Macaca fascicularis: one gene and its partners. The main gene of each other region encodes a partner of the protein of the gene in region 3 in a complex. Links are inferred from orthologs where the notes say so. Each region holds a gene or a part of one and is shown on either strand. Other genes may lie near its edges.

Region 1 (6,266 bases), about 22 Mb from region 3:
AGACCAGCCTGGTTAACATAGTGAAACCCCATCTCTACTAAAAATACAAAAAATTAGCCAGGCATGGTGGCAGGCACCTGTAATCCCAATTACTAGGGAGGCTGAGGCAGGAGAGTCACGCGACTGCACTCCAATCTGCGTGACAGTGTGAGACTCCGTTTTAAAAACAAAAAACAAACAACAACAAAAAAAACCAATGTGCAAAGTAGGCTGGGCACAGTGGCTCCTGCCTGTAATCCCAGCACTTTGGGAGGCCAAGGTGGGAGGATCACCTGAGGTCAAGAGTTCAAGACCAGCCTGGCCAACATGGTGAAACCCCATCTCTACTAAAAATACAAAAATTAGCGGAGTGTGGTGGCACACACCTGTTATCCCAGCTACTCGAAAGGCTGAGGAAAGGGGAAGCTGAGGCAGGAGAATCGATTGAACCCAGGAGGCAGAGGTTGCAGTGAGCCAAGATTGCACCATTGCACTCCAGCCTGGGCAACAGCGAGACTTTGTCTCAAAAAAAAAAAAGTGCAAAGTAGGCTGGGCATGGTGGCTCATGCCTGTAATCCCAGTGCCTTGGGAGGTCCAGGTAGGTGGAGTTCAAGACCACCCTGGGCAATATAGCACGACCCTTTCTCTACAAAAAATTTAAAAACTAACAAGCCATAGTGGCGTACACCTGTAGTCCTGGCTATCTGGGGTGAGACAGCTTGAGGTTCACTGCAGCCTCAAGCTCCCAGGTTCAAGTGGTCCTCCCATCTCAGCTTCCTCAGTAGCTGGAACAACAGGAGCTCACCACTGCGCCCGGCTAATTTTTCAAATTTTCTTTGTAGAGAAGGGGTTTCACTACATGGTGTAGGCTGGAGCACAGTGGTAGGTTCTTGGCTCACTGCAACCTTCATCTCCTGGGTTCAAGCGATTCTCCTACCTCAGCCTCCCGAATAGCTGGGATTACAGGCGCGCGCCACCACACCCAGCTAATTTTTGTATTTTCAGTAGAGACGGGGTTTCACCGTGTTGGCCAGGCTGGACTCTTTAACTCCTGCCCTCAAGTTTTCCACCCACCCTGGCCTCCCAAAGTGCTAGGATTACAAGCAAGAGCCACTGCGCCCGCCCCCAGGCCCCATTTTCATTTGACACATGGCTACTGTAGCCTGAAGCTCTTCGCCAGTCTCATATCCCCAATTCTAGTCATCACAAGCCAAGTTCCCTCTGTTTTGTGCTGTTCGAAGTTTTAGTGGGGAGCAGAAAGGAAGTTTAATGTGCCACATAGGTACAAACTGAAGGATATAAGACGAATTTTTATGAAGTAATGGATGGCAGAGTCAAAATCATTTTAGAGGAACTTTCAATTCGCTACCATTTTACTGAGTAGATATCCTCAGTCCTCTGTAGGCCCCCCGAACGAGCAGTATCCCCTCAAAGAAACTCAATCCTTGGCAGCATGAAGCAAGGTCGGCCACAAAGGCAAAGGGGGCGGCTCGGGTAGAGAGGGAGTGGGTCCTGATTCCCAGCGGGGGAGCCTTCCAAAGGGTGCGCTCTGGAAGAACCTCCCAGGGAGCCGACTTGGAGGCACTCGGCGCACCCAGGCCCGGCCCCGCGGAGGGCCGGAGCAAGGGCGCCCAGGGAGGAGCCCAGGCGAAAGGTGGCGGTGCCCCGCTACCCGCCCCAGATCCACTCGGCTCCGCCCGCAGCGAATCTAAAATGGTCAGAACTGGCAGCCGACGCTTCGCGCTCTGGTGATTTTGCACTGACAGCGCGATCTCCGGCTCCTCTCAGGAAACCCGGCGAGCTGGCGGGGCTGGGCTCCTACGGCTGCAGTCCCCGGGCCCGACTGAGGGAACTGAGGCTCGTCAGGCCGGCCCCAAGTCGCCCGCCTGTTGCAAGGCCGCCCGCTTCAGCGCGGAGGGTCGCCGCCAGGAAGGCCGCCCTCGGACCCGCCGCAGGCAACAGGGCCCGCCCGCAGCCGCGCTGAGGAGGCCTCGCACCCTGGCCCCCGGCCGAGCGCCAGATCCCGGCCTCTACGCGCCCCGGGATCCCGCCGGCCGCGTCCCCGCCACGTCAGGCCGCGGGCTCTCCTCAGGTCGCCGCCCCCGCGCCTCCGGCCCGCGCCCGCCCCCGCGCCCCTCGGATTCCGCGCTGCTAGCTTGCCCCCGGCCCAGCGATGCCTGCTTGCCGCCCGCCCCCCGCGTTCGCCGCCGCGCGACCCGCCCGGCCCACGCCTCGCAGCTGACCTGGTGCCGCCGCCAGCCGAGGCCGCGCTCGCAGCAGGAGGGAGGCGGGAGGCGGGAGGCGGAGGCGGGGCCAGCGGCGCCGGCGGGGCGGGGCCCTCGGCCGTCACGTGGGCGCGCCGCGCAGGCGCCGGGCGGGTTGGACGCGGGCCCAGGGGTGCCTGGCCGGGCGGGGTAGCAGCGCGGGGCGGCCCTGCGGCTGGGAGACGGGGGGCGGCTCCCCTCCGGCGCTCTGCGGAGGACAGCAGCGACCGCCAAGGCTCAGTGAGTCCCCGCACTAGCGCGGCACCTGGCACTTGGCGGGGCCGAATCAACGAATGAGTGAATTTGCCGAGGGTCGCGCCTTCCGAACCCATTGACTTTTTCCTTGCCTCGGTCCTGCCCTCATTCCTCGACTCACTCCCTCCTGCCCTTCCTCACTATCTCCCTCCCCGCTCATATCCTCCCTCCCCTTTCATCATTCGCTTCTTCACTCTGTTCTCTCCTCCCTTCCTCTCTTACTCCCCCCTCTCATTCTCTCCCTCCCTCCTTTACTCTCTTATTCTCCCCTCCATCCCCATTCCCTCCCTCCCTGTCTCACCCATCATTCCCTTCTTCCTTCACTCATTCCCTCCCTGCCTCCTTCACTCTCATTCTCCCCTCTCTCTCGTTACCTCCCTCCCTGTCTTAACCCCCATTCCCATCCTCCCTCACTCATTCACTCCCTCCCTCTCTCCCCCCTCATCCCCTCCCTCTTTCATTTCCTTTCCCTCCCTCCTTCACTCTCGTTCTCCCCTCCCTCTCTCATTCCTTCCTTCCTTGTCTCACTTCCCCCTGCTTTTCCTCCCTCCTTCTCTACCCCCTCCCATTGCCTCCCTCCCTCTTTGATTCCCTTCTTTCCCCCTCCCCTCCTTTTTTCGTTCCCTTCGTCACGCACTCATTCCCTCCCTCCCGCGCCTGCTCCTTCCCCGCTCCCACCGCTGTCCGTGCCGCTGAAGGTAGCGCGCCCCCTGCGGGATATCGGGGAGAATCGCCGAACACCGCCAGGGTGAACAGGTGCTAGTTTGTGTGCCCGTTCCTTTACTGATATTTTGCAGTAAATCTGATTCCCAGTCTTAAAGCCTGGTCCCAGAGGTCCGTGCGCGGCTCTTGGCATTCATTTTTCTCCACCTCACCTCCAAGCGGATCCCATCCTCCAAGGCGTATCCGTAACGGCTGCGCCCAGAGCTTGGAGCCACAGAGCCTCCTGATGGAATAAGATTGGCGTGTCCCACACTGTGGTTTTGAGAGGGACTGTGAAGGGTGGAGAAAGTGGTGCGGGGAGGATATGGCTGGAGATGGCTCATGGTTAAAAAGAAAGGTGGGGCCGGGCGTGGTGGCTCGTGCGTGTAATCCCAACACTTTGGGAGGCTGAGACAGGCGGATCACGAGGTCAGGAGATCAAGACCATCCTGGCCAACATGATGAAACCCCATCTCTACTAAAACACACACACAAAAACTAGCCGGTCATAGTGGCGCGCACCTGTATTCCCAGCTACTCGGAAGCCTGAGGCAGGAGAATCGCTTGAACCCGGGAGGTGGAGGTTGCAGTGAGCCGAGATCGCTCTGGTGACAGAGCGAGACTCCGTCTCAAAAAAAAAAAAAAAAAAAAAAAAAAAAAAAAAAAAAAAGGTGGAAGGGGAATGTAAAAGGAAGAAAATAGATGAAAGAGAATTGCTGTCCTGGCTGAGTCCAGAGAAATAACTGAGGGTCCCAGACAAGGATCAGGTGAACAGGATTGGCCTCCAGAGGCAGAGGTTCCAAATGCGAGTGGGCTTCCTCCTAGAAAGGCTTTCTGGAGGAGAACCCCCTACGTGTAACAGACGAGGACTTTGGGAGTAAGAAAAGCATTCCATGAAGGGGACAGTGTCAGCAAACGCGTGGAGGTGAGATCCTTCAAAGTGAGTGGTATGGAGGTTTCCAGGATACCTCCTGGAATTTTCATAATTCCAGTGGATTTCTGAGCCTGAAGGGAAGGTTGGAGAGCAGACCCTGCCCTCTGGAGGCTAGACTTAGCCCTGAGGGCACCCTTTAGCCAGGGTGGGCAGATGCCAACCTGGTGGAGAGGAAGACTAAGTAGGGAGCCAGCCATAGTGCCTGGTCTCAGACAGGCAGAGAGTGAAGACGAGAGTGGAGCAGGCTAGAAACCCGGGAAGGAAGCAGCTTCCCCAGTATAAATCCAGTGATGTGTAAAGATTGAGCCCAGGAGATGGGTGGGGAAGTAGGCCCACCCTGGCTACACGGGAGCCAGAGCAAGAGCAGGTTTGGGGGAAGATGAGGCCCAGCTTGGCCTCAGGTAGGGGAAGACTGATCTCCAAGGCCCAATGGGACCAGGTGTAAGGGTGGACCCAGAGAGGAGAGGAAAAGGAGTCCTGGGGCAGCGACAAGGAGGCCACTGTGGTCTGAATGTTGGTACCCCCAAAATTCCTATGTTGGAACTGAATCCTCAGTGTGATACTATTATAAAGTAGGGCCTTTGGGAGGGGTTTAGGTCATGAGGGTGAAGTCACCATGGGATCAGCGTATAAAAGAGGTTTGAGGGAGTTCATCCCCTACTTTTGCCAGGTGAGGACGCTGTAATAAGCACCATCTTCAAGGCAGAGAATTGGCTGGGCGCGGTGGCTCACGCCTGTAATCCCAGCACTTTGGGAAGCCGAGGCGGGCGGATCACAAGGTCAGGAGATCGAGACCATTCTGGCTAACACGATGAAACCCGGCTCTACTAAAAATACAAAAAATTAGCCAGGCATGGTGGTGGGCACCTCTAGTCCCAGCTACTCAGGAGGCTGAGGTAGGAGAATGGCATGAACCTGGGAGGCAGAGCTTACAGTGAGCCGAGATCACACCACTGCACTCCAGCCTGGGCAACAGAGTGAGACTCCGTCTCAAAAAAAAAAAAAAAAAAAAAAGGCAGAGAATGTACCCCTCACTGGACACTGGGGCTTTTTTCTGAAGACTACTGTGTCATATAAAATTTATATTGAATAAATTGATATGCTTTTCTCTTGTTAATCTGTCCTTTGTTAGAGGGGTGTCAACCAGGAACCTTGTGATAGGTGAGGAAAAAATATTTCCTTTCCCCCTACTCTTTCTGGCACCCAGCAAACAAATGAGGTGGCAAAGACACCCCACTTGGGACAACTGGCAAAAGGTAAGCATTCTTACCAAGGTCGACTCCCAGATCGCTGCCTGTAGTACTCAGCTGAGAGTAGAAGGCAAAAACTTCTTGTCCCTTCCTTTCCAAATTCAAATTAGCAGAAGAAAATATTGTATCCGCATTGTGACTCTTGCTTAAATTTGTTTTAGGGGTAACCGTTTGTTACTGATCCTTTCCTCCCAGGCACAGCTACCTCATTCCTGTTTGTTTTGTTTGTGTCCTGAGAGCTTGGCTTTATGACCAGTGAGAATATTCTCCCCGATCTCTGAATAGCCAGTGGGTGCAAGTGACAGCTTGCTTTAGGACAGCTTGCGTTATTACAAACTCCTCTGTCCTGGTCAGAAAAAGAGAAGGTTCGTTTTTTGTTTGTTTGGTTGGTTTTTGTTTTGTTTTAATGTCTTGCTCTTTCGCCGAGGCTGGAGTGCAGTGGCATGATCTCGGCTCACTGCAACTTCTGCATCCTGGGCTCAAGTGATTCTTCTGCCTCAGCCTCCTGAGTAGCTGGGGCTACAGGTGCACACTACCTCACCCAGGTAATTTTTTTGTGTATTTTTAGTAAAGAGGGGGATTCACCATGTTGCGAGGGGTGGTCTTTTTTTTTTTTTTTCTTTTTTTCTTTTTTTTCAATTGTTTTCTGAGACGGAGTCTTGCTCTGTCACCCAGGCTGGAGTGCAATGGCGGAATCTCGGTTCACCCGCCCAAGTGGCTGGGATTACAGGCACCTGCCACTCCGCCCAGCTAATTTCTGTATTTTTAGTGGAGACAGGGTTTCACCATGTTAGTCAGGCTGGTCTCGAACTCCTGACCTCAGGTGATCTGCCTGCCTTGGCCTCCCAAAGTGCTGGGATTACAGGCGTGAGCCACTGCACC
Region 2 (6,302 bases), on a different chromosome or scaffold from region 3:
TACTAAAGTGTAAAACAACTTATGCATGGAGATATAAAACAAGAGGGCAACGGACTAGATAAATTCCAAAGCTTATAATCTTTATAATCATATATTTGACCTGCCTAGTGTATCACCTGTAAGAGAAAATGTGGGCAAGCTCCTATGACAAGATCATTTTTATCTCCTTAATGCCCTCCCCACCCCCCATTCATTCTAGAAGTTCTTCCTAGGTGTAATTACTCTGGAAATAATAACTAAAAATTTATAAAAATCCGACAGACATATGAGAATATGGATCTACAAAGGTTCTTGCATTTATAATGAGGCTAGTACAATTTCCTAGAATTAGCAGTCTCCATCAGCATATTAAAACTAGATGCAGGAGGGTGTAGGCTTTCACTCCGGCCTTGATATGAACTGGCTGGGGAATCCTGATGAAACCAGTTACCTTGTCTGAGTCTGTTTCCTCATCTATAAATTGAAAGACTAGAAACAGATAAACTCTGTGGTCCTTTTAACCTTTCCTGTACTATGAAATCTGCGATGTTACAGAAATAAAATCAAAACTAAACCACCATCGAAACCCAAATTCACACCTTCAAAGTCAAGCATCTAATAATTAACAGCATAGCGAAGTTTACACACACGTTAAAAACAAGTAAATCTGGCACACGCCACAGCAAAATACAGGCCTCCATTATGAGGAGTACTGAGAAGCACATTCACATCCTTCCTTTTCTGGTGCACCACAGGCTCTCCCTCCAGTGGAGACTTGTCGTTTTATCTACTTTCATTACATGTATTTCAATGGCAAAGAGGCTTTGATCAAGCAAAGCCCATCCTTACAAAATTGGAATCCACATGCAAACCAAATAGCTCTTTTTCCAGGTCACACCATGTCATGTGATTACATCAACACATAGAAAAAAAAAAAACTGGATATTACATTTTCCAAATTGTCAGATGATCCCAAACAAAAAATCTAAACCCCTAAAATCAATGGCAGTTCGTTACCTAAATTTTCACTGCAACAAGAACACTGAACAGTAATATACAGAATCATCCGTCCTACTACCATCCACAGTCCAACACAGATGAGTTAACTTCTGTGCAATGAATTCCCAGCCCCTGGGACCAGATGTGTCAGGACAGAGACAGACAGAGGGAGGGGGAAGAGTGTAACAGCAACAAAACATTTTCCTACGAAACTTGCACACGTCTCTCCAGGTCTAACAGGTGCAACTACGGTCTAGACATCCCCTCACAGTTCTCTGACAAACAAGTTTCCCCATATGTCCCCAGAGCTACTCCCCTGTAGGCCGGGGGATGGCCTTTTTTTCAAGAACTCAACTTTCGCTTGGCAAATAAAACCAATTCCTGGCAAGCATCCCTCACACAGAACCATCTTAGGCTGTTCCTGTGGAAAATCCAATCGGGAAAAAAAGACCTCCAAACCATCACCTCCTCCAAGTGCAGATCTCCTCCAGGCTGGCCATCACCATCCAAGGGTGATCCCTGGGAGCTGAGAAAAGGTACATGCTGAAGTCGAATCCAGCTTGCCAGTCTCCACAGCCACCAGCAACCAGTACCACGCTGGCCTCTCCCCTCCCTCTGGGCCCTGAGAGACCACAGCACCTGTTAGGTGCTTTTTCCTTCCCACCTCCAAAGCAACGCTTGCCCTTTCCTTTTGAATAACGTCCAACTGCAGAATCCTACAGGGGTGGCTTGTTTTGACTGCTGCGGCGGCTCTTATTTTTGTTAATGTTAATTACAATTTCTGCTGTGCTCAAACCTGTAGCACTCATAAAACATGCTTACACACGCGGGGGACAATTGGCGATGCTCCCTGCTGGCTGGAGCCAGGCCTGGGAGGCTCTTTGGGGGATCGATTTTCCAGGCAGGCCGGTCTGGCTGTCCCCTAACACATATCTGTTTCTATAAATACCCACTACCCACGGGGAGGTGGGGGAAGGACAGAGATGTTTACCCGGTCAGGGAAAGGGAGCTCTGGGATGCAAGGACGAAAAATGAGGAAAGAAGGGAAGCAGCAAGGAGGAAGTTCCTAGGAAGAGGAGCTCATGGCTGGGCGGGCTCCGGAGGGGAAGTAAGGGGCCCACGCCACGAATCTTCCTTTGTGGCTGCAGCTTTGGGCTCGCCCAAGTTAACGAGGGCGGCGTCGAGGAGAGGCCACGGGCCCGGGGCGTGGGGCTTCTTGTATCTCGACCCCTCTTCTCCCGGCGTCAGAACCCTCCAAGTCCGGGTGCTTCTGCCTGGGGCCCCTCCCGCCCCCACCGCCCGGGCCGCCCGCGGGCTGGGTCTCACCGTGTGGGCTGCGGCGGCAGCGTTGCTGGCCCGGAGAGGCGGCAGGGCGATGGGGGAGGGCGGGCCGGTCCCCACTCCGCTCCGGGTGGCCCCCGCACCGAGCCCCGGGGAAGCCTGAAGCTGGCGAACGGCGCTGTCCCCACCTCTGCCTGGAAGCCACGTGCGGGAGGAGACAAAAGAGGGTCAGGGGGGAGAAAGTCACCCAGACTACCCCCCACCCCACTGGGCAGCGACACCCCTCTCCCAGGGAAAGACAGAGGAAGAGACCGGGGCAGTACAAACAAGCGTTCGGGTCACGGCTCCCCAGCGCACACCCACGGGCGGGGCGCAGGCAGCTGCAAAGTTAAGTCGGGCCCTGGCGCGCGAGTTCGCGACCCGGCGGGGAAGCCGGACCACGCCGGGGCTTGGCGGCCCACATTGCAGACTGCCAGCGGCCGGGAGGTGGGTTTGGACAGCTGAGCAGGGCGCCACGGCCACGCCAAGCCCCGGGCAGAGAAGGGCGGGGCGGCAGGCCTGGACGGTCCCCGCCCGGGCCCCTGGCAGGCAGAAGCCTCTTCGGGCGGAGGACTCCCCTCGGAGGGGCCTTCGGCGCCGCGCGCAACCCTGCGCGGAGCCCGGAGCGCGCCGTCCGCCCGGGGACTCCCCCGCGCCGCGCCGCCGACTTTGTTCGAGGTCCCGCAGGCAGCGGCCGCCCGCGCCACGGGGGCTGCCCTGGGTCGGCGGGGTTCCGGGGGGGGGGGGCGGCGCGGGGGCACGGCCTCCTTACCGGTCGGGAAGGCGGCGGGAGCGGCGGCCGAAGGTTTCCTGGTTAACATGGCCGCTGGAGAGGAAAATGCATTTCAGGGCTGCCGTCGCCGCCGCCGGTCCTGCTGCTACTTCTGGCGGCCGCCGCCGCCGCCGCCGCCTCCCGGCCGCCCCTCGCGCGGGTCCCCGGCGCCTCGTCGCCGCCTCGCGTCTGCTACAGCCAGACACACACAGTCCACTGCATCCCCTCGGCCCGGGCCCGCCGCCGCGAGCCCCCCGCTCTCCTCCTCGCCGCCGTCCTCCTCTTCCTCGGGCGGCTGCAGCACCCTCCGGCCCGTGCACATGCCTCGCCCTCCCCTGCGCGCCGCGGGCCTCCCCGTCTCCCTCACATAGGGGCGCGGGGAGCTAGAAGCGCCGCGAGGACCGAGAACCGCCTAGCTCGGGAGGCTCTCCCGGGCCCGCGCGCGCGCGGCCCCGCGCACTCACACACAGACACCGGCGCGCGGCCCCGCCCCCGCCGCCCTCCGCCGCCCTCCGCCGCCCTCCGCCGCCCTCCGCCGCCGCCGCAGGCCCCGCCCCCGGCTCCCCCGGCCCTGGCCCCCACCCAGCCTCCCGCCTGGCCTCTCTCCTCTCCCCGGGTCGCGCGCAGCCGCCCCTCCGTTCCCCGGAAAATTCGGCGGGCTCCGCTCGCCCTCCTCCGCCCCCTCCGGCCATCTGCACTGCTCCCCTCGGCTCCACTCCGGCGACCTTTTCCCCTCCCCGGCCTCTCCGGCCCCCTCGGAGCCCCTCCGCTGCCCTAACAGCTCAACCTACCGCTGCTGCCCTCCGGCCGAAAGCGTCGCAGAGACCCCTCCCCTGCCATGCCCACCCCTAAACATAAATGCATTTTCAGCTCTTCGAACTGAATGGCTGCTCACAGACAGTACTGCGTCCCCGGTCCCCCATTCTCAGTCGCGGCGACTTAGCCACTCCCCTCTCCCCAATTCCTCATGTAGATAACTTAGTTGTGCGAGGGTCACCTCGGAGAGTCAAGTCCTGGGAGGGGCCGCCGCTGAGCTCGTTGACCCTGAGCAGGGGCGAGAGAGGGGGCTGCCCTCCCACCTCCACTACACACACCCTCCCCGGTTTACTGACACCAAGTGACCGTTCGCCAGTCGCTAGGACAAGGGGAGGCAGAGAGGCGCGTGTGGACGGCAGCTGGGGAAGCAGTTGGCTGTGGGTTGCTAGGCAAAAATAAACATCAGAGACACCTCCTATTTCCTTACAACTCCGAGCCTTTTCCTGGCGCGGCCACTGGGAGAGACACACCTTCCTTTGAGCTCTGCGGTGAGGGAGCGACACCTCGAATTCCTCTCACCCCAACCCGACGCATCTCTTATAAACCCCTTCCTTTACAAGAAACTTAGAGAATTTCCCTGCCTTTTTTATTCGCCATCTACAACCTCTCTTTTCCTTGAAGACCAAAAAAAAAAAAATTGCTTTCCCGTCTCACACCCACGCCTCGTCGTGCGTGGCACACGGTGCGCCTCTGTCCAAAGGTCACAGGTGTTGCCACTTCAGCCGTGAGAGCAGGTGGGGTGGAAAAGCCCGACAAATTCCGAATGACGGGGCAGAGTTATGCCATGCACTTCCTTCTCGAGAGGTGCCTAGTTTCTGAAGTTCTCTTGGGGTCAGGGGTCCATTACGCTCTGCCCCGCCCGATTATCTCTGGCCCCTGGCTGGACCTACTGTGCAGGCCCGAACTAGTGCAGACTCCAGTCGGAAGGGAGTCACCTCCTGCGGAGTTTCATCGCCTCTACTGTTTGCAAATTGTCATAGCAACCTCCCACAGAGCGCACCCGCAGCTTTATACAAACGCCAAAAACTGTGTTTCAAGGTACAGTGTGACCTCTCAGAGTCTCTGGGACTCCTAAAGAGGCCTCCAAGTTAGGGACACTGGGAGAGGGAAACTGTGACAAAAAGAATTTTGCCTAGTATCACGTCCCTCCAAAAAAACAAAACAAAACCCTTTGGGGCCTTCTCCTAATAAAGTAGACCACAGTAAAATAATCCAATGATATGCCTTTAGATGAATCATGACCTGAACTGACCCTTGCAAGAAATATCCCCCTATGCTTGTCACTAGCGACTATCACATTTAAATCTACATGCGGAAGCATATTTAATGTTTAGAATCGACTAAAAGGCAAGGGCTACTCAGTAGCAGAGATGACACTAGAACCGGTTTTCTGACTCCCAGTCTGATTTCACTGATTTCCATCACACTACTTTCCTTACACTTTCAAGAAAGCTCACACCTCTTTTCTTCTCCTTTCAAAACACTTATTTTATACCATTTTCCTTTTTAAAATGAGTATACAACTGATGTTCAAATAAAAAAAAGAAGCAAAAATATCAATTTTAATATAATCCGACAGCCCTTTTTGCTTAAGTTATTCGTACAATACTTCAGTAGAAGCTAAATATGCCACTGTTTTCTCATGAATAAAATAAATGCTAGTTACTGGAAGCCATAGTTTACAATTTCCAAATTAGTAATATTAATTTACTCATTTAACATGAGGAAAAGGAGTGCTGATTCTTTTTTTTTTTTTTTTTTTTTTTTTTTTTTTTTTGACAAAGGAACACAATCATTAACTTTAGGAAAATAAAAGACATTAGGGAACTTTTTGTAGTTTGTTATTTTATATCATGACAAATATAATTTCAATTTTATATATTTTTTTGTGGCTTAACATAAGGAAATACTGCAGTTAACCTACCCCATGGCTATTTTGGTTATAAATGGTACATGTTTGAAAATTATATTAAATTTTACTGACCTCTAAATGACTATTAACCATTGCTTAGATTTTCCTTATTCTATTAAATATGGACATCTCCCTGAGTGAATGTTAAATGGAAAAGTTGTACAAACACACTCCTGGGGCTTTGGGGAGAGTAAAGTGGGTAAATTTGGGGAGTTGTTTCCCTCAAATTTTATTATTATAATGCATCATTATCAGTTATCTCATATAATTACACATATTTTTATCTCTTTATAAAACACTTTCACAAATATTACCATGGTTAATCTTCATAACTCCACCAGAGCGGATTTCATTTTAAATAGGAACCTCCTTAAAAGCTTCATTCAATTAGCAAGAGACTGCTCTTTGGTTTTTACTCATTGCAAAGACTCTTATCTGTTCCACATGTATATAAAATCCAGATTCAGATAACAAGGAGGTAGGCAGGATCTAGCAGGAGTAGAG
Region 3 (6,275 bases):
AAGGAAAACTGGCCAGGGGCCATGGCTGCTTTGGCCACCATAGTTAGTTTAAAAAAAAAAAAGTGTCCAGGTAAACTAACAGAGTGAGCAGGAGTGACTCAAGATGAAGTTGTAAAGGCAGGTGAGTGATCTGAAAAGTAAGTTCCTATAATTCCAATTCTAGAAACTTGAAGTTTCTTTCCTCCATTTCTGGCCTCAGTAACAAATCATTTTAGTTCCCGGATGAAAAAGTAACCTCTACTGTTCCTGGTGTGATCAACATTCTTGTTCCTTCTACTATAAGGACAGGAAATCAGTCCATCAAAGACTATAATCGGATCACTATGTGCTGACCACTACATGTAATAAAATATGTGGAGATTTAAATGAAATTTCTTTAGTGCAATCAATTACCTATTTAGATGTTGGCAATGATTTCCTTTTTATTATGTTTGGGCCTAACATACAAAATACTTACTCCTTAGGCTTCTTTCCTTTGTAAACAATGACCAGCAAAAATTAGCTCAGATAGACATTTTTTTTTTTTTTGAGACTCTGAGTCTCAAAAACTTTTTTTTTTTTTTTTCTTGAGACCCTGAGTCTCAAAAAAAGACTGTGAGTCTTGCTCTGTCGCCCAGGTTGTAGTGCAGTGGTGTGATCTCAGCTTACTGCCACCTCCACCTACCAGGTTCAAACAGCTGTCCTGCCTCAGCCTCTCAAGTAGCTGGGATTACAGACATGCACCACCACGCCCAGGTAATTTTTGTATTTTTGGTAGAGACGGGGTTTCACCATGCTGGTCAGGCTGGTCTTGAACTCCTGGCCTCAAATAATCCACCCGCCTCAGCCTCCCAAAGTGCTGGGTTTACAGGCATGCACCACCACGCCCGGCTAATTTCTGCATTTTTAATAGAGTATTTTTGCATTTTTAATAGAGTCGGGGTTTCACCATGTTGCCCGCCTTGGCCTCCCAAAGTGCTGGGATTACAAGCATGAGCCACCACGCCTCGCCTCAGATAGAATATTTTAGCTCAAAGTTTATTTTCCTCCTTTCAGTATTTCTACCTTTGAGTCTAGGTACAAGATGGGAGATATGCAGGAAGAATCAACAGTGCCTGTTGTCCACAATTAATTCTAAATGTGTCCCTGCCATCTTTAGATTGAGTAGATTTATTCTGAAAGCTGGGTATGCCTCCAGGACATCATAAAAAAACTACTCTATTTCAAACACACCAAAAGACTAGATACAGAAGACCGAGTGCTCAGAGTAGGCTTGATATCTGCTTGTGAAGAAGAAAATCGGTCACATCAAGATAGCCACAAGCTCTGCAACCTTCTCAACTTCCTCCCATCCTCCTCCAATTACTTACAAAGATCCATAATGTGGTTCCTGCAGATGGCACAGTTATCAACCACAATATCCCAGGCCCAGAGGGCTACTGCATTCCACTGCAAAGACAAAAAGAGGGAACAATGCATTCTCCTTATAACACACACACAGTTTTTAGGACTTCAGGCTGCAGTTGTAGTTATGATCTCTGGCCACAGGGAACCACCAAACAAAAGTTTTTGGATATTATGTTAATCTTATTATACCAAAGACAACAGTAGACAACACATACATTCTCCTATTCTCCAAAAGACTGAGTATATGAACACATAAATTAATGTCATCTTTTAATTTGTTTCCTGTAGTTTAAAACAATTTAGTCTGGCCGGACGCAGTGGCTCACGCCCATAATCCTAGCACTTTGGAAGGCTGAGGCGGGTGGATCACCTGAAGTCAGGAGTTCGAGACCAGCCTGGCCAATATGGCGAAACCCCGTCTTTACTACAAATACAAAAATTAGCCAGGCTTGGTGGCGGGTGTCTATAATGCCAGCTATTTGGGAAGCTAAGGCAGGAGAATCGCTTGAATCTGGGGGACAGAGGTTGCAGTGAGCCGAGATCGTGCCACTGCACTCCAGCCTGGGCGATGGAGTGAGACTCCATCTAAAAAAAAAAAAAAAAAAAAAGCACAAACTTGAATTTCTGTGCAGGTTTTGGTGGCAGTTGCAGAAGCGCTCAAAATCTGAATAAGTATCTGCTCTTCCAGGCAGCTTTGGAAGCATGAGCAATGAAGTGAAAGCTAGGGAACAGAATGAACTAAGATGATGACTGGATCATAAAACGGGTAATCGTGGGATAAGCTGGATAATTAACTGCCCATGTCAGTACACAGAACAAGGTCATCACTTAAATCTTAGATTACTTCATAACAAATTCTACAATTCACTAGAATTTTGTTCGATTCTTACCATAAAATAAACTGATGTTCTGAACTTTTATATGTTTAGACTCTTCTATTAAGATAATAATTCCAGTAAGAGTTTAACTAAAAGTGGCATTTCATTCATTCAACTCTGGTTTCCTCAATTACAAGTACTCCCAAACCTTCATCGCTTTCAAACCCCAGTCTCAGTGCCTAGTAACTTCTTCACCACTTTTCACATCACAGCTTCAACTTGGAGGAAAAGCCCCTACTTCTATTATTCTTCAATATGGCTGGCTGTAACTGAGCAGCAGTGGCCACAATGAGACACCAAAAAGCACTAGGAGGGGGGGATATTGTCAGTGTTTAGCCAGATGTTCCAGGAATATCTTCCCTATTTCAGAATCTCCATTTCGAATAGTTTTCATGTTAGGTGGGAATCGACACTTTTCTCCCAAACTGTGGCAAACCACTAAAATGCATTTCATGCAAAAGACACGTTCCATTTTTGCTTTCCCCTCTTACCAAGTCATTCGCAACTACTACTCAACCCTCCCGAAATGCCACAGGATTTGGGCTCGGATTTTCTTAACAAGTTCCACCGTGCTTTTTATTATTATTTCGGAAGGGGGAGATTCTGAACGTGACAGAGAATCCAAGAGTGGGGTGGTTGTGGGAAAAGCCAACAGACGTCTCAGAACACCCAAGCATTACACTCCAGACTCTAACTCGGCGGTGTGAGGCCCAGAGATGGGGTTAATGGAGGCCTCGGTTCAGCGAGGAACAAGTCTGATCCCTTCAAGTGAGAGGACCCCAAGCAAGCTTCAAAAAGGGGCGGAGCAAGATCACTAGCGGGGCTCCTCAGAGGCCTCCAATGCGGTAGGACCTCAGGTTCCAGGCTTTCGCCGCACTGCCCCATCCTCCACCGCCGCAGTCGCTCTGACTCCCCATTCCACCCACCCCACCCCACCCCACCCCACCCCACCCCACCCCACCCTACCTTCCCCCACCTCTCAACCACTCCAGTGACAGCTCAGGCGCTTGGCTCCCGCCGCCAAGTCGCAACCCCGCGTATCTCAACAAGCAGCTCTGTGATTGGCCCCTCAGCCTCACATCGAAACCAACACTTCCCCTGACAGTGGGCCGCCGTCACGCCGATCAACTCTAAGGCCCGCCCCCCGACTTCCTTTCGTGGTACCCGGTCCCAGGAACGCCCTAAAATGAAACCCTTTACTCCGCGCCTCGACCATCCTCGGGCCTGCCAGCCAGATCCGCGCCTCTCTAGCTTCCCTGAGGAAGGCGCTGGCGAGACCCAACCTTTTTCACTTCAAAGCGCTTCTTGCCCGCGCCGCTGTTGGTGCCGCTCGGGGTATCCACATCCATCGCTGCCGCCATTTTGGAAACACACGGTCTGTCGTCCGACCACCGCGCCTGCGCAGCAGCGCACACCTCGTTCCCCCAGCCTCCCCGGCACCTCCTCCCGCACCCCACCCCTTACTGGCGCGCGTGGGGGAGGTGGGGGCGGAGCACGTGACCACGCCTCTTAAAGGGGCTATCGCAGGTCGCCCCACCCGCGAAGTGTCGGCCGGGGAGGGGGCGGTGGCCGGAGTGGGTGGGGCGGGGCCGGGCGGGGCCGAGGCTACGTGAGCTAGCCTGGTAGAAACGTTCGAAAGGGCTCGAGGTCGCCGCCTCCTCTGGGAAGCCCCCGGCCGCACTCCATCAGCTGGGGCGGCGGCTGCTTCCTCCGCCTGAGTCGGACCTGCGCCGCAGTCCTGTCCTGCCTACCGGGCTCGCCCGGTCGCCGCGCGACTCCCATTGCTAGCCGGGGTGGGCGCCCGCCGCCTGCCCCGAAACCTGAGAGCCCTCGCTGGTCTTTCGCAGACTCTGACCCACCTCCGAGCCAGGCCCAAGGCGCAGTCCGCGTGGGAGGGCTGGGGCCCAGGCACCGTCTGGTCTCCGATTTCTGTTCGGGAACTGCTCAGGGATCGATGGGGAGAGAGGAGAGCCCCGAAGGTCCTCCCTAAGGCCAGACTGAGCAGGCCCCCAGTGCTGCCCTCATCCCCCCGCCAAGCCTGGAGGGTGGCCTCTGCGCCCGCTTAGTCGCAGTCCTAGGACCGCCTTTGGTCGTGGTGCGCGGTTTCACCGTGGCGTGTGTCAGTCCCCACTCCTCATTCCTCAGTTGTCATCTTGTGTAGGGTGATTTCTCCCCAGTCTGTGTCCTCTTTCCGCTACTTGTGCTATAGTGAAACCGACCCATCTGCAGTCGCTGTATTTCTTTAATTTTTGTGAAGCATTCTGACTTTTTGGGGTGTTTTTCTGAGACGGAGTTTCGCTCTTGCTGCCCAGGCTGGAGTGCACTGGCGCGATTTCGGCTCACTGCAACCTCCACCTCCCGGGTCCAAGCGATTCTCCTGCCTCAGCCTCCCTAGTAGCTGGGATTACAGGTGTCCGCCACCACGCCCGGCTCTTTTGTATTTTTAGTAGAAACGGGTTTTTACCATGTTGGCCAGGCCGGTCTCGAACTCCTGACCTCAGGTGATCCGCCTGCCTCGGCCTCCCAAAGTGCTGGAATTACAGGCTAGAGCCGATTTTTTTTTGTTTTAAATAGAGACAAGGTCTCACTCTGTTTCCCAGGCTGGTCTCGAACTCCTCGGCTCAAGCGATCCTCCCACTTCGACCTCCCAAAGTGCTAGGATCACAGGAGTGCGCCACCGCGCCCGACCCAAGCACCTGTACTTTGTGTCACTCTCCCATTTCTCGCTAGACCAGGACTCCCTTTGACATCTCTAACCTTGCAGAGGTATGACTCCGCCAGAGCACTCTTAGATCTGGTACAGGTGATTTGAAGCCTTTTATTTTCTCTTAAAAGATAACTGGAGAGTAATGGAGTGTGCTGACACTATTGCTAAAGAGAAAGAATTGGCCAGGCGCGGTGGCTCACGCCTGTAATCCCAGCATTTTGGAAGGCCGAGGCGGGTCGATCACCTGAGGTCGGAAGTTCGAGACCAGCCTGGCCAACATGGCGAAACTGCATCTCTACTAAAAATACAAAAATTAGCTGGGCGTGGTGGCACGCGCCTGTAGTCCCAGCTACTCGGGAGGCTGAGGCAGGAGAATCTCTTGAACCCGGGAGGCGGAGGTGACAGTGAGCTGAGATCGAGCCACTGTACTCCAGCTTGGGTGACAGAGTGAGACTCCGTTCCCAAAAAAATAATAATAAAAGAGAAAGAATTGCCATTTGTTTATTTGTTAGTCATAAACAGGCACAACAGATCCGGGAAAACACCACCACAGCTTTATCCAGACTTGGAAAGAAAAATTGTGTGAGACAGACCTTAAAGGGCTACAAGAACCCTACAAAGTTTTTTTTAGCCCAAGTTGTAATGACTTTATGTTAAAATTTCTGTTGTTAATTTATTGTGCGCCTACAGTCCCTGACAGGAATACTAGAAACCCATTGTAAATTAAGGTATTGAGGACATACTTATCCATCATTCAACAAAAGTATTGATATTTACCAGGTTCTATTTTAAACAGAAGAGACATAATAACAGTCAACCCCCTAGTTAGGGAATAAGACACAAGTCAACAAATAAATACATCAGGAAGTCTCAGGGCCAGTTAAGGTGTCTCGCGCCTGTAATCCCAGCACTTTGGGAGGCCAAGGCAGGCGGATCACCGGAGGTCAGGAGTTAAGAGACCAGCCTGACCAACATGGTGAAAGCCCATCTCTACTAAAAGTAGAAAAACAAAAATGAGCCGGGTGTGGTGGCAGGCACCTGTAGTCCCAGCTACTGGGGAGGCTGAGGCAGGAGAATGGATTGAACCCAGGAGGTGGAGGTTCCAGTGAGCCGAGATAGTGCCACTGCACTTCAGCCTGGGCAACAAAGTGAGAGTCTATCTCAAAAATAAATAAATAAATAAAAAGTTTCAGGTATCTGCCAGGCAGGGTGGCTCAGGCCTGTAATCCCAGCACTTTGGGAGGCCAAGGCAGGCTGATCACTTGAGTCCAGGAGTTGTCCAGACCAGCCTGGCCAACATGGCG
Region 4 (5,615 bases), on a different chromosome or scaffold from region 3:
TAATTTTGTATTTTTAGTAGAGACGGGGTTTCACCAAGTTGGTCAGGCTGGTCTCGAACTCCCAAACTCAGGTGATCTGCCCACCTTGGCCTCACAAAGTGCTGGGATTACAGGCATGAGCCACCACACCTGGACGGCTGTTCAGTTTTTTTGAGACAAGGTCTTGCTCTGTTGCCCAGGGTGGAGTGCAGTCGTGCGATCATACCTCACTGCAGCCTTGAATTCTTGAGCTCAAGTGATCCTCTGTCTCAGCCTCTGAGACAACAGGTGTATACCACTATGTGCCACTAATTTTTTTCTTTTTTGTAGAGATGGAGTCTCACTATGTTAACAAGGCTAATTTCAAACTCCTGGCCTCAAGATAGCCTCCTGTCTTGGCCTCCCCAAATGCTGGGATTACAGGCATGAGCCACCAAGCCCATCCAGTTGCTTGTTTTTGAAGCCAATTACACATTAAGTGAAATGTCTAACTACTTTTGAGCATGTCAAGTATTTCAAACTATTTTTTAATACACCATGGCACACATTTAAGCACAGCAATGGGTCATGCTTAATTTTTATCTGTGAAATGTCCTAATTTTACATATAATTTTGTATCTTTAAATAAAATTAAATATTATTTTCAAATGCATTACTACTTACCCCTTTGACTCCCTTTTTCAGCTTATCATCAATAAATAATGAGAGGTATTCAGGAGACCTGGAGTTGAGGTTGAGAAAATACTCAAAGTCACCCGCAATAGTTTGTTTAAAGAGCCGGTCATTGTTGAATGATTCCAGGAGGAAGCGATCGAACCTACTCTTCAGATCCAATAAACCCTTAGAAATAAAAACAAAATTTAGGACACATTATAATAATTTTTCCATAAATAATACACGTATGACCATGTATGTTTATCTTAACTTTGCTGGTAATAAACATGTATATTCATTTTTAAACTTACAGCTTTGATATTATTTAAGCCTATATCTAAGCCTCTATTAAAAATGTCAATGAGAGAGGTATTATAACTTCCATATATGTATTAACACAATGCAAACGAACCAAAGAACCTCCTCACTGCTTCTCATTCTCCTGTCTTCATGGAATGGGTTAGCCAGGGAAAAAATTAGCTTAAAAAATGTACCAAAAAAGCTGATTATATTAAAACACAAAAACACGGCATATAATTTATTCACAGTACTGCTTGAAAACAAAACGTTTTCAAACAAAAAATAAACAGTTGTTTATTCCAATATACTACAGTATAGAAACACTAAGGCATACCAAAGAACCTCACATTCGCTATTGAGACTATTTAAACAAGATCTTCATCAGAGAAGTTAAATGAAAAGTAGCAGTTGAATTTTAGCTCCCTGATATAAATATGCGCACCTTGCAAAATCCTAAAATACTTAGGATAATTACAACTATTAATTTACGACTGGGACAATTAAGTTGAAAATACGTTTTAGCACTTGTCAAATTGCCTTTATTATAAATGTAGAGCATCTTCTGGGTTTACTTACCTGGATATAGTCAACGGGATTCTTTCCTTCTCCTTCTTCAGAAACAAGAGCTTTACCTTGCTCCCTCAAATAGGAACTCATACACTCACACATTGTTTTCAAACCATTTGGCACACGACTAAATAACTTGTACATGCAACCAAGATCTACAAATCAGAAAACACAAATTCGCTACATTAAAGAAAAAAACACGAATCTGTGTTCACGCTATAATACTTAGAGAAGCTTATTTCTCCATTACCCCCATTTACTGACCGCATGACTATTAAAAATATACATGTATCAAAATGAAAACATGAAAAAGTAGGCTAGTTAATGGTTATTACTGTAATTTATAAAACACAACTTTTAGACGAGATGCTTTGAAAGTATCAATTAAATGTCCTAGCAAATTTAAATTTACATGGAAGAAGAGATGCCAAAACCCGTAACAAACAATGTCACAAAAACATGGCAACTGCAGTTTTGAGTTCATAAATACTTTATCCTACATAACTCTAATGCAGACCTAATGACACTACAAAACATCTACAAAAAGAGTCACTAAGTAAGATATAATTGATAGTCCCTGTAATGAGGAAGAAATTTTAAAACCAATTTAAGTCTTGTGGGTATTTCCAAAGGTTTAACTGATAATCATGAAAACAAATCAAATGAACTATACTAAGATTTACTTCATTACACCTCAGGTAAAGTTTTTATGAAATGTATAATATAAACACCACTTCTTAAATATTTTCTTCAGAGCAATCCCTAATGTTTCCCAGGTGGCATCCTAAGCCAGTATCTGTACTTCAAAATTTGGTCCCTCTCACTACACTTTTTAAATTTAGAATGAAAACTCTGGATCCTATCCATTTTTCAATATCATTTTTCACAAGACTAAAATATAGATTTTAAAATACAGTTTTCCCATATGTCTAGTGTTTCTTTATAATAACAACTTACTGGAAGAACACAGTGTCAGAACTTTACAATGATAATTTTAAAAGTTTTACAATCAATAACTTTTTAAAATGGAGTTAGAGTTTCTAGATCAGAGGCTGACCAATGTTTTTTCTGTAAAGCATCAGATAATAAATATTTCTAAATGTGAGCCATAGATCTCTGACTTAACTACTCTACTCTGACACTATAGCAAGAAAGGAGCCACAGACAATACATAAATTAATGAGTGTGACTATGTTTCAAATAAAATTTTATGGGTATTGAAAATTTATATAAATTTTCATGTGTAATTAAATACTAGATTTTTTTTTTTAAAAAAAAAACCAAACTGGTAGTGCATCAGATTTGGTGGACAGGCCCTAATTTGCCTACCTTGGTCTACAGTTCTAAGAGTAGTTTAGAGCTTAAACTTGTATGTATTTTAAAAATATTTCGAAGCAAGTCTGACAAAGTTTTACTAATCTTTATTTCAGTGACTTTCGGCAGCAAATTTATTAGTTTCCATTAATAATATACGCCCATAGTAACCTACACATGGCAATTTTATAGCTTCTCACATGCTTAGCATAAATTACAACCAAGTTTCCCATGTTTAAAACAGGTATTACAAATGCAACAACAATGTATGGACACATACTACAGTAAACGTGGCACACCAAATACCTCTAACAAAATGTCTATTTCATTCCTTTGTTGTAAGTGTGGCTTAGATATTACACGTTGTGTATTTAGTTGACATAAATTACTACAATTTCATTGTATTTAAATGTCAGGGTAAAGAGAATGTAAAAGAGTAAATGGCAATCTGGCATTCAAAAATTAAATATCATTATTTCTATATACACTTAATAAAATAGTTAAGATACCAGCTGGGCACGGTGGCTCACGCCTGTAATCCCAGCATTTTGGGAGGCCGAGACGGGTGGATATGAAGTCAGGAGATGGAGAGCATCCTGGCTAACACGGTGAAACCCCATCTCTACTAAAAATACAAAAAATTAGCCGGGCGTGGTGGCAGGCGCTTGCAGTACCAGCTACTCGGGAGGCTGAGGCAGGAAAATGGCATGAACCCGGGAGGCAGAGCTTGCAATGAGCTGAGATCGCGCCACTGCAGTCCAGCCTGGGTGACAGAGCAAGACTCCATCTCAAAAAAAAAGATACCATTTGAACTTAATTTCATAACGCTATCTGCATCTAATAACAATCCAATTTATCCTCCATTCACAGTGAGAAAACTGTTTTTCGTTTTCTGATTTATGAGAATTTGGCTTCATAATGGTGAAGTTGCCTCTGATATGTTCTCAACAAGAGCAACTTTTTTCCAAGAGCGGGGTCTATCACAATTAAGATCTTTTGCCACTAGGTTTCTAGTGGAAGCTCAGAAAAATTAAAGACAACAGTTCCCCCTTTTTTTCTTAAGACAGCATCTCCCTCTGCAACCCAGGCTGGAGTGCAGTGGCATGATCTTGGCTCACTGCAGCCTTGACCTCCCTGGCCGGATTCAAATGATCCTCTCACCTCAGCCTCCCAAGTGGCTGGAACTATAGGCATGTGCCATCACGCCCAGCTAATTTTTGTGTTTTTCATAGAGACAGGGTATCACCAATTTGAACTCCTGAGCTCAAGCGATCCACCCACTTCAGCCTCCCAAAAGTACTGAGATTACAGGCGTTTGCCACACTGCCCGGACAAAAACAGGATTTTAAAATTTAATTTAGAATCACAGATAGCTACTGTGTTGTTGGAAACCTAAGGTACTAAATAAAGGAGAACTCTGGTGAGTACTATTATGATATTCCTTCATTCACGTTAAGTGCCTGCAATGATAGGCACACCTGACACCTTTTACATATATCTCCACACAAGTTACAGAGATGCTGTAATTCAGGTATGCCCAACAACCTCTCCATCAAACATTTCCTAGCCCCTCATCTCCAGCCCATTTAATCATCCCTCCCTACATGCCCCTAAGGTAGGTAAGAAAGCATTCACTCAATACCTAAACAGTACATTACATAATTTATCGATACTCATTTTGTTTAAGCAGGGCAAATGCTTTGCATGAAGTCCTAGTCTACCAGAGACCATTTAGAGAAGGGTCATCAAATTAGAACCCGTGGGGCAAATAAGCCTGCCACCTATTTATGTACATACAGCTCATGAACTAAGGATGGTTTTCACATTTTTAATCGCTGAGGAAAAACTGTAAAGGATACTATTTAGTGACGCATAAAAATTATATGAAATTTAAGTTTCAGGGCCCATAAATAAAGTCTTATAGAAACACAGGCTTATTCATTTGTTATTGTCTATGACTATTTTCTCACTATGACTGCATGGCTCACAAGCCATTTTATTCAACAAGAACAAAAAAGGCTTGCCAACCCCAGACTTAGACCTTAATTTTAGCAAACACGGCAAACATACTAGATGACTTGTTTTTTTTTTTTTTTTTTTTTTGCTTTTACAAAAAAAGGTTTAACAGAATAGTCTTTTAAAAAGGAAGTCTCTCTAGTTTTTTTTTTTTTTTTTAAATTATATATCACTTTTCAGGGATTTATCATATATACAAAAATTTAACAATTTTAAAACACAAGGTAAGGATTCCACTAGAGAGAAACGTGGCTCAACTTCCCACCAGCTTTCTTTTTCCCTTCTCTTGTATCCTCCTGCTCTTCATAATTCTCTGTTAAAAAACTTTTTTTCATTCCCTACATAGCTCATGACCCCAAGAGGCAATACGTATTTCTTTTACTAAAAAGAAGTGGATAAAATATCGCTCAGATTTCATCTACGAAGCAGGAGAACAAGGGACCATGTTTTTTTATTTTCTAATACCATATCACTGATAAAGGCAAAGTTTTAAATCAAAGCATCAGAAACTAAGAATAGAAGATATGGTTATTGTTCTTTTAACTTGTAATTTCTTCTAGGATACTTGTCACAATTTTTTTTTTACCCCAGGGAAATAAAGATAAATAGCTACAAAAAATAAATGTTAGTTATCTCAATAGTGTTTTCTACTTTTATGCACTCCTCCTTCCTCCTTTTCCATTCTGTAACTTCAGTGTTCCCCAAACCAATCTAATTTATCTAAGTGTATCAATATGGAAGACATAAATATTTTTGCATTTTTGGCACCCTATCACAACTAAATC
Region 5 (6,150 bases), on a different chromosome or scaffold from region 3:
TACTCTCTAATTACTGCATGGCATCCAACTGTCCTCTAGTCACTTTCTTTGAGGCAATTTATGCCGGGAGGAGAATCTTGTATTCACCCTTGTAACTTTTAAAACTCTCATAAACTGGTGCTTTGGACAAAGGGTGATTAAGATTGTTAACTTGATGAAAGTAGTTCTCAAGGAACTTTGAGAGCTCATAGATTGGTGGTTCTGGGGTTACAAAGACATCCTTCTCCCCAGCTTACATCAACTTCAAGCCAGAGATGACTTATTCAAAAAAATAATAAATAAATATAAAAAATTAAAAAAACAGAGATGGCCAGGCGCGGTTGCTCACACCTGTAATCCCAGCACTTTGGGAGGCTGAGGTGGGCAGATCATCTAAGCTCAAGAGTTCGAGACCAGCCTGACCAATATGGTGAAACCCTGTCTCCACTAAAAATACAAAAATTAGCTGGGCGTGGTGGTATGCGCCTGTATTCCCAGCTATTCGGGAGGCTTAGACAGAATTGCTTGAACCCGAGAGGTGGAGGTTGCAGTGAGCTGAGATCATGCCATTACACTCCAGCCTGGGCAACAGAGTGAGACTCTGTCTCAAAAAAAAAAAGAAAAAAAAAGCAAAAACAAAAACAGATGACCATTCATAACCTGGCCATCAAAAAGAGACCAGGTTAGGTCAGGCGCATTGGCTCACGCCTGTAATCCCAACACTTTGGGAGGCCGAGGCGGGCGGATCGCCTGAGGTCAGGAATGAGACCAGCTTGGCCAACATGGTGAAACCCGTCTCTATTAAAAATACAAAAATTAGCTGGGTGTGGTGGTGGGCGTCTGAAATCCCAGCTACTTGGGAGGCTGACGCAGAAAAATCACTTGAACCCAGGAGGCGGAGGTTGCAGTGAGCCGAGATCGCACCATCGCACTCTAGCCTGGGTGACAAGAGCGAAACTCCATCTCTCTCTCTCACACAGACACACATACATACACACAAAGAGGCCAGGTTAGGCCAGGCACAGTGGCTCACACCTGTAATCCCAGCACTTTGGGAGGCAGAGGCAGGCGGGCCATCTGAGGTCAGGAGTTCCAGACCAGCCTGGCCAATGTGGTGAAACCCCATCTCTACTAAAAAATACACAAATTAGTCAGGCGTGGTGGCAGCACCTGTAATCCCAGCTACTTGGGAGGCTGAGGCAGGAGAATCGCCTGAAACTGGGAAGTGGAGGTTGCAGTGAGCTGAGATTGCGCCACTGCACTCCAGCCTGGGTGACAAAGCAAAAATCGTCTTAAAAAAAAAAAAAAGAGGCCAGGTTACCTGATGGTGAGAATGCATGGAGAGTGTGCAGTCTCAACAATTAAGAGATTTGCCTTACCTTCAAGCTTGTCCTGAGTGACTCTGCAAAAGCCTCTCTTTCCTCTTTATTAAAGTTAATCCAGGCTTCTATTGCCTCTGTTGGGTTCTGAGAACATGGAACTCCATCTGTGAGAGCCAGAGGAAAGGCATGGTCAATGACGATCCGAAAGAGAAATTCAGAGTAAGGGACTTTAAAAGATGTGAACTGCTTTATTAGACTACTGCTGGGCATGTGTATATATGTCCATGCATACATACACATATACATGAAATTAACCTGAAATTGCCTTTTTTTTGGGTGGGGGGCAGGGTCTCACCCTGTCGCTCAGGCAGGAATGCAATGGCACAATCACCATCACCGTAGCCTCAACCTCCTGGGCTCCAGCAATCCTGCTACAGCCTCCCAAGTAGCTGGGACTACAGGTGTGCACCACCACGCCTGGCTAATTTTCTTATTTTCTGTATAGACAAGGTCTCGCTATGTTGTCCACGCTGGTCTCAAATTCCTGGCATCAAGCGATCCTCCCTCCTTGGCCTCCCAAAATGCTGGGATTACAGGCATGAGCCATCATGCCTGGCATGCCTTGCTTTTTTTTTTAAAGTAGTCTCGTGTTACATGAGGCCTCAAAAAGTTGGGTAAAGACTCACAACTGTTCCTCTCCATGGAAATCTTTAGTAAAAGGCAAAATATTTAGACAATCTGAAGAAAAACCAGAATATGTGCCTTGCTTTTTTAAATCAAAATGGATGGCTCGATATGCTCCCATCTGCCACGGAAGCAACCTACTAAGCTATAGAGCTCACACTATTTTTTTTTTTTTGAGATGGAGTCTTGCTCTGTTGCCCAAGCTGAAGTGCAGTGGCATGATCTTGGCTTACTGCAACCTCTGCCTCCGGGTTCAAGTGATTCTCCTGCCTCAGCCTTCCCAATTAGCTGAGACTACAGGTGCCCACCACCACATCCAGCTAATTTTTGTATTTTTTTGTGGAGACGGGATTTCACTATGTTGGCCAGGGTGGTCTCGAACTCCTGACCTCAGGTGATCCGCCCACCTCGGCCTCCCAAAGTGTTGGGATTACAGGCGTGAGCCACCGTGCCTAGCCAACCTCACACCTTAAGTATGGTTATATCTCACTTGCAGGGTTAGGATTGTTTCCTGACGTTGGCCCATCACTAAAAAAGTTTTTAGTCTTAGATATCTTACCTCATCACCAATTTACATAGGTAATTAGACCCACCGGGACATCCAAAGTACAGGAGAAATTAGAGTATAATACAAATCACTCCTCAGTACTTTTGTGTGGTTAAGTGTTGTGCTTTAATTTTCCTGGCTTCTTCCTCTAACACACTGTGTCTCTGACAGCAATTACACTGAATCTCAACTCAATCTTTCTTAGCAGGTTATCTCAGTAAGAATGCAGGAATAATAATGTAAATTAACACCAGGAAGCATGAGGGTTCCTTTCTCCTAAACTAGAACATTCACTGAACATCACAGCCAAGTAACTTCGTATGCTGTGTCCCCTCCCTAAACTTACCCGAGATGATATCTGTGAGTAGGTGGTGAGGCAAGTGGAGAAATTCCTCTGTATTCTGCAGCTGGGCCAGGTGGGTCTTGGCACAGTGTTTGGCAGCAGTATAGAGCTCAGGATCACTGTGCCGATCTGCCAGCCACATCACCTGAAGGCAGTTTCCCACTTGCACTGTGCGGGCCAAAAACCGAGAGCATTCCTCAAAGAGAGATGTCAACTGATACATGTCTGACACCTCATAAATTTCCTGCAACTCCTCAGCTCGAAGTTTCACAGTCCCATGGTAGATATAATCAACCAGGAGCTGGAAAACAGACTCACTGACATCCTGCAGCACAATCACCCGGTTGTGGGCCTCCTTCAGGTTAGAAGTGAACATGGATCGGAAGAAGCAGCTCTGAGCTGAGAGGACCAGCCGATGGAGCTGAAACTCCCGGCCTTCCACCGAAATGGTGACATCAGCAAAGAGCTCCTCCTCTAGACACAGTTTCATGATGCCTTGAGCCACACGGCCTGAGTGTGACCGATCTTTGAAAGTATAGTTCACAAAGTAGTTCTCATCCATGGATGCTCCAGGCTCCTCTGGTGATTCCATGCTAGCCAACTTCTCTCTCTGCCAGCTGTCTGCAAAGCAACACCACCTTGAGTAACTTGCGGAATTCACAGCCATAATCTGTGAATCCAACTGTCCAACTCAGGGAGGGAAATGGAAGAAGTGACAGCAAAGTGGGTCCAGATTGGCCTTAGTCCTGGTCCTGTCCATGATGTCCCTGACGCTATCCTTTAACCAAACCTGGGTTCGTTCTCCCCAGTGGCACCACTCCGCTAATGAAATAAATCAAAGTTCCAACTCTGGGTGTTTTCCTGAGAAAACACGGAATAATTCCGTTCCATGATATTAACAAAAGACTTGGGATTTAGGTCAATATATGAAAGCAAAGGGCTGGGGGAGGCCTGTGACCGTAAAAGCCTTACTAACCAAATAACTGGGGCATAAAACTAGTGAAGTTCGGGGCAGCAGAGTCAGACAAAAAGGACCCCCCGCCCTGGCCTAGTGGCCAGGTCCTCTCCTTCCCCGCGCATGGAGTTAAGACGCTCCATATGAGGCCTAGCCTGGGATATACGTCAGTCTCACATTTGCTCTCTTCTGAGCTACTTTCCCCGCTCGCTCGAAAGACTCCCTAAGGCTGCGTCCCAGAACTCAAGTCCAGCCGCCCTCAGGCCGGGGCACTGGGAGGCCCATCGCCCTGTGCAATATCCCCGCTCCACCTGAAGTCGCCTGGGAAACCGTCGCCAGGGAAACCGTTCTTCCCACTCAGGCTCGCCCGCCCTCGTCAAAAGCTTGGCTGAGAGCGGGGGAGGGGTGTGTAGTGCAGAACCCAGAACGCCCGCCCCCTCCCCTCCTCTCACCCGTCTGGTTCTTCAGCGTCCTCGCCTTCTCTCCAGGCTTTGCCACACGGAGCTAGGACCACGCTCACCTTACGGTTTCCCTACCTGCCTGTCTCGCTTTCTCACCTGCGTTCCCTCCTTTCATCCCGGAGCCCGGAACCTCTGCTTCAGGCTCCACGTCCGCCCGGAAGAAGATCTGCTGCACACTTCCGCTTCCGGTCCGTGCCCTTGGGGCTCCGTCTCCTGCTGTCTTTCCGTCCGCTGCCTAGTCTGTGTCTGGGTAACATGGCGGCGGCAGCGACAGCTAGGCTGTGGTGGCGTGGAATCGTGGGGGCCGCGGCGCTGACGAGGGGTGAGAGGGGCAGCTAGCTGAGACCGGGGTCAGGCGCAGCGGCGTGCCCAGTGCAGAGAGCTCTTCAGGCCTCACCCCGCGCGTCTGTGCCTTTTATCTCCCTGTGCAGGGGCTGGGCGACCCTCAGTTCTGTTGCTGCCGGTGAGGCGGGAGAGCGCCGGGGCCGACACGCGCCGTGAGTATGTGCTGGCAGCGCTCTTCCCTGAACTGTCGGCGGGGCCCCCTAGGTGCCTGTCCTTGCCCTAGGATGCCCTTCCCTGCGTCTTCCTGGCAAATCTTGGAGACCTGACTGCGGTGGTCTTCACCCTGCGTGCAGAATCGAGCCCTCCCTGTACCCTTAGGCCTCTCTGTTATGGCCCTGATTGTCCCTTGTCCGTTTCAATGGTCCCCTTTTTGTCTGATTAAACTCTCAGCTCTTCGAAAGCAAGCAATGTGCCCTTTAGTCCTTAGAGCCCTGTAATAATAGTACCTCACGTTGAGTGCTTAATGTGTGCCTGGCACCTCGCTAAGCGTTTTAGTGAATGATCTTATTTCGTCCTCACAACAGCCTTATGGGGTAGGTAGTATCTTACTCTTCTTACTATAGATCAGGAAACAATCCAAAGAATTAAACTGCCCAGGGTCAGAGACCTAGTGAATGACAAAGTAGGCCTGCCTGCTGCCAGAGGCAGGAAAACCTAACCATCATTCCGTAGCTTGTGATGTGTGAGTGCTCAGTGGTTTAGGGTTGCATGAATGAGTATGTACATATGTTACAGTCAAGATGCACGCACTGGGAGTTAGGAGACCTAGCATTTCCCCTTTTCTTGGCCTCAGTTTTCTCATTGATACAAAAAAAAAAAAAAAAAGTAGGTTTCAAGGAGACAGTCTGTGAGGGCTCCTCAAGCCCTGAAGTTCTTATCTTGAGAACCTGGTATAAACTTACATGCTAAGAAGTTACAGAGAAGCAAAAGTTCTGGTTCCCATCCTCAAACAGCTCTTAGTCTGACAGGAGAACTGAGACTACTGCTTTAGCAGAAATGCAGGTAATGTGAGGGAAGAACTGTAGAGTAATTTTGAGAAGAGGTGAACACCCCAGCTGCTGTATTGAGTCTTTCTGAGGACTGTGTACTTAAGGTGGCACTTTCCCCAAGTTTTCATCACTCTATTCCCTGGAAGGGAAACCTTTCACATGCCCCTTTCTCAGGGTGCTGCAGGGAGCCTTTACTGGATTTGACATCCCTTACAAGCCCAAGAGACTGGATACAGGGCTGGCTTTTGCCTTCTCCATTTCTTTGTTAAATATGCTTTTTCCTTCCAGCCACTGTCAGACCACGGAATGATGTGGCCCACAAGCAGCTCTCAGCTTTTGGAGAGTATGTGGCTGAAATCTTGCCCAAGTATGTCCAACAAGTTCAGGTAATACGTACCACTGTTATTTGGGTCTGGGCCAAGAAAGAACCATGTTCTCAGAGCATGTGGGAGTGGGCAGACTGGTTTCAAAGAAACTACAGACTCCTCCATCCCAACCTTGGACTTTTCCCTCAGCATTAAGCCA

What was found.
Region 1: RBX1 (region 3) and KLHL22 share a complex: the UniProt entries of both Homo sapiens proteins name them as parts of the BCR(KLHL22) E3 ubiquitin ligase complex. The link is inferred for Macaca fascicularis from reciprocal best matches to the Homo sapiens genes RBX1 and KLHL22.
Region 2: RBX1 (region 3) and DYRK2 share a complex: the UniProt entries of both Homo sapiens proteins name them as parts of the E3 ligase complex. The link is inferred for Macaca fascicularis from reciprocal best matches to the Homo sapiens genes RBX1 and DYRK2.
Region 4: RBX1 (region 3) and CUL3 share a complex: the UniProt entries of both Homo sapiens proteins name them as parts of the BCR(ARMC5) E3 ubiquitin ligase complex. The link is inferred for Macaca fascicularis from reciprocal best matches to the Homo sapiens genes RBX1 and CUL3.
Region 5: RBX1 (region 3) and KBTBD4 share a complex: the UniProt entries of both Homo sapiens proteins name them as parts of the BCR(KBTBD4) E3 ubiquitin ligase complex. The link is inferred for Macaca fascicularis from reciprocal best matches to the Homo sapiens genes RBX1 and KBTBD4.

Annotation. Positions count from the first base shown.
Region 1 is NC_088384.1:32,300,487-32,306,752, reverse strand, and holds the start of KLHL22 (kelch-like protein 22), read right to left. Parts: upstream 3,455-6,266; 5' UTR 3,374-3,454; intron 2,484-3,373; exon of another isoform or gene 2,356-2,483; intron 2,269-2,355; exon of another isoform or gene 2,223-2,268; intron 1-2,222. UniProt on the Homo sapiens protein: Substrate-specific adapter of a BCR (BTB-CUL3-RBX1) E3 ubiquitin ligase complex required for chromosome alignment and localization of PLK1 at kinetochores.
Region 2 is NC_088385.1:74,403,347-74,409,648, reverse strand, and holds the start of DYRK2 (dual specificity tyrosine-phosphorylation-regulated kinase 2), read right to left. Parts: upstream 3,511-6,302; 5' UTR 3,120-3,510; coding exon 3,071-3,119; intron 2,454-3,070; coding exon 2,305-2,453; intron 2,276-2,304; exon of another isoform or gene 1,444-2,275; intron 1-1,443. UniProt on the Homo sapiens protein: Serine/threonine-protein kinase involved in the regulation of the mitotic cell cycle, cell proliferation, apoptosis, organization of the cytoskeleton and neurite outgrowth. Functions in part via its role in ubiquitin-dependent proteasomal protein degradation.
Region 3 is NC_088384.1:10,678,489-10,684,763, forward strand, and holds the start of RBX1 (E3 ubiquitin-protein ligase RBX1), read right to left. Parts: upstream 3,651-6,275; 5' UTR 3,626-3,650; coding exon 3,548-3,625; intron 1,429-3,547; coding exon 1,350-1,428; intron 1-1,349. UniProt on the Homo sapiens protein: E3 ubiquitin ligase component of multiple cullin-RING-based E3 ubiquitin-protein ligase (CRLs) complexes which mediate the ubiquitination and subsequent proteasomal degradation of target proteins, including proteins involved in cell cycle progression, signal transduction, transcription and transcription-coupled nucleotide excision repair.
Region 4 is NC_088386.1:120,455,923-120,461,537, forward strand, and holds part of CUL3 (cullin-3), read right to left. Parts: intron 1,656-5,615; coding exon 1,510-1,655; intron 820-1,509; coding exon 643-819; intron 1-642. UniProt on the Homo sapiens protein: Core component of multiple cullin-RING-based BCR (BTB-CUL3-RBX1) E3 ubiquitin-protein ligase complexes which mediate the ubiquitination and subsequent proteasomal degradation of target proteins.
Region 5 is NC_088388.1:18,259,966-18,266,115, reverse strand, and holds the start of KBTBD4 (kelch repeat and BTB domain-containing protein 4), read right to left. Parts: upstream 3,676-6,150; 5' UTR 3,543-3,675; coding exon 2,879-3,542; intron 2,060-2,878; exon of another isoform or gene 1,943-2,059; intron 1,466-1,942; coding exon 1,359-1,465; intron 1-1,358. Other genes in the region: NDUFS3 (NADH dehydrogenase [ubiquinone] iron-sulfur protein 3, mitochondrial), read left to right, coding at 4,547-4,613, 4,723-4,788, 5,914-6,011. UniProt on the Homo sapiens protein: Substrate-specific adapter of a BCR (BTB-CUL3-RBX1) E3 ubiquitin ligase complex which targets CoREST corepressor complex components RCOR1, KDM1A/LSD1 and HDAC2 for proteasomal degradation.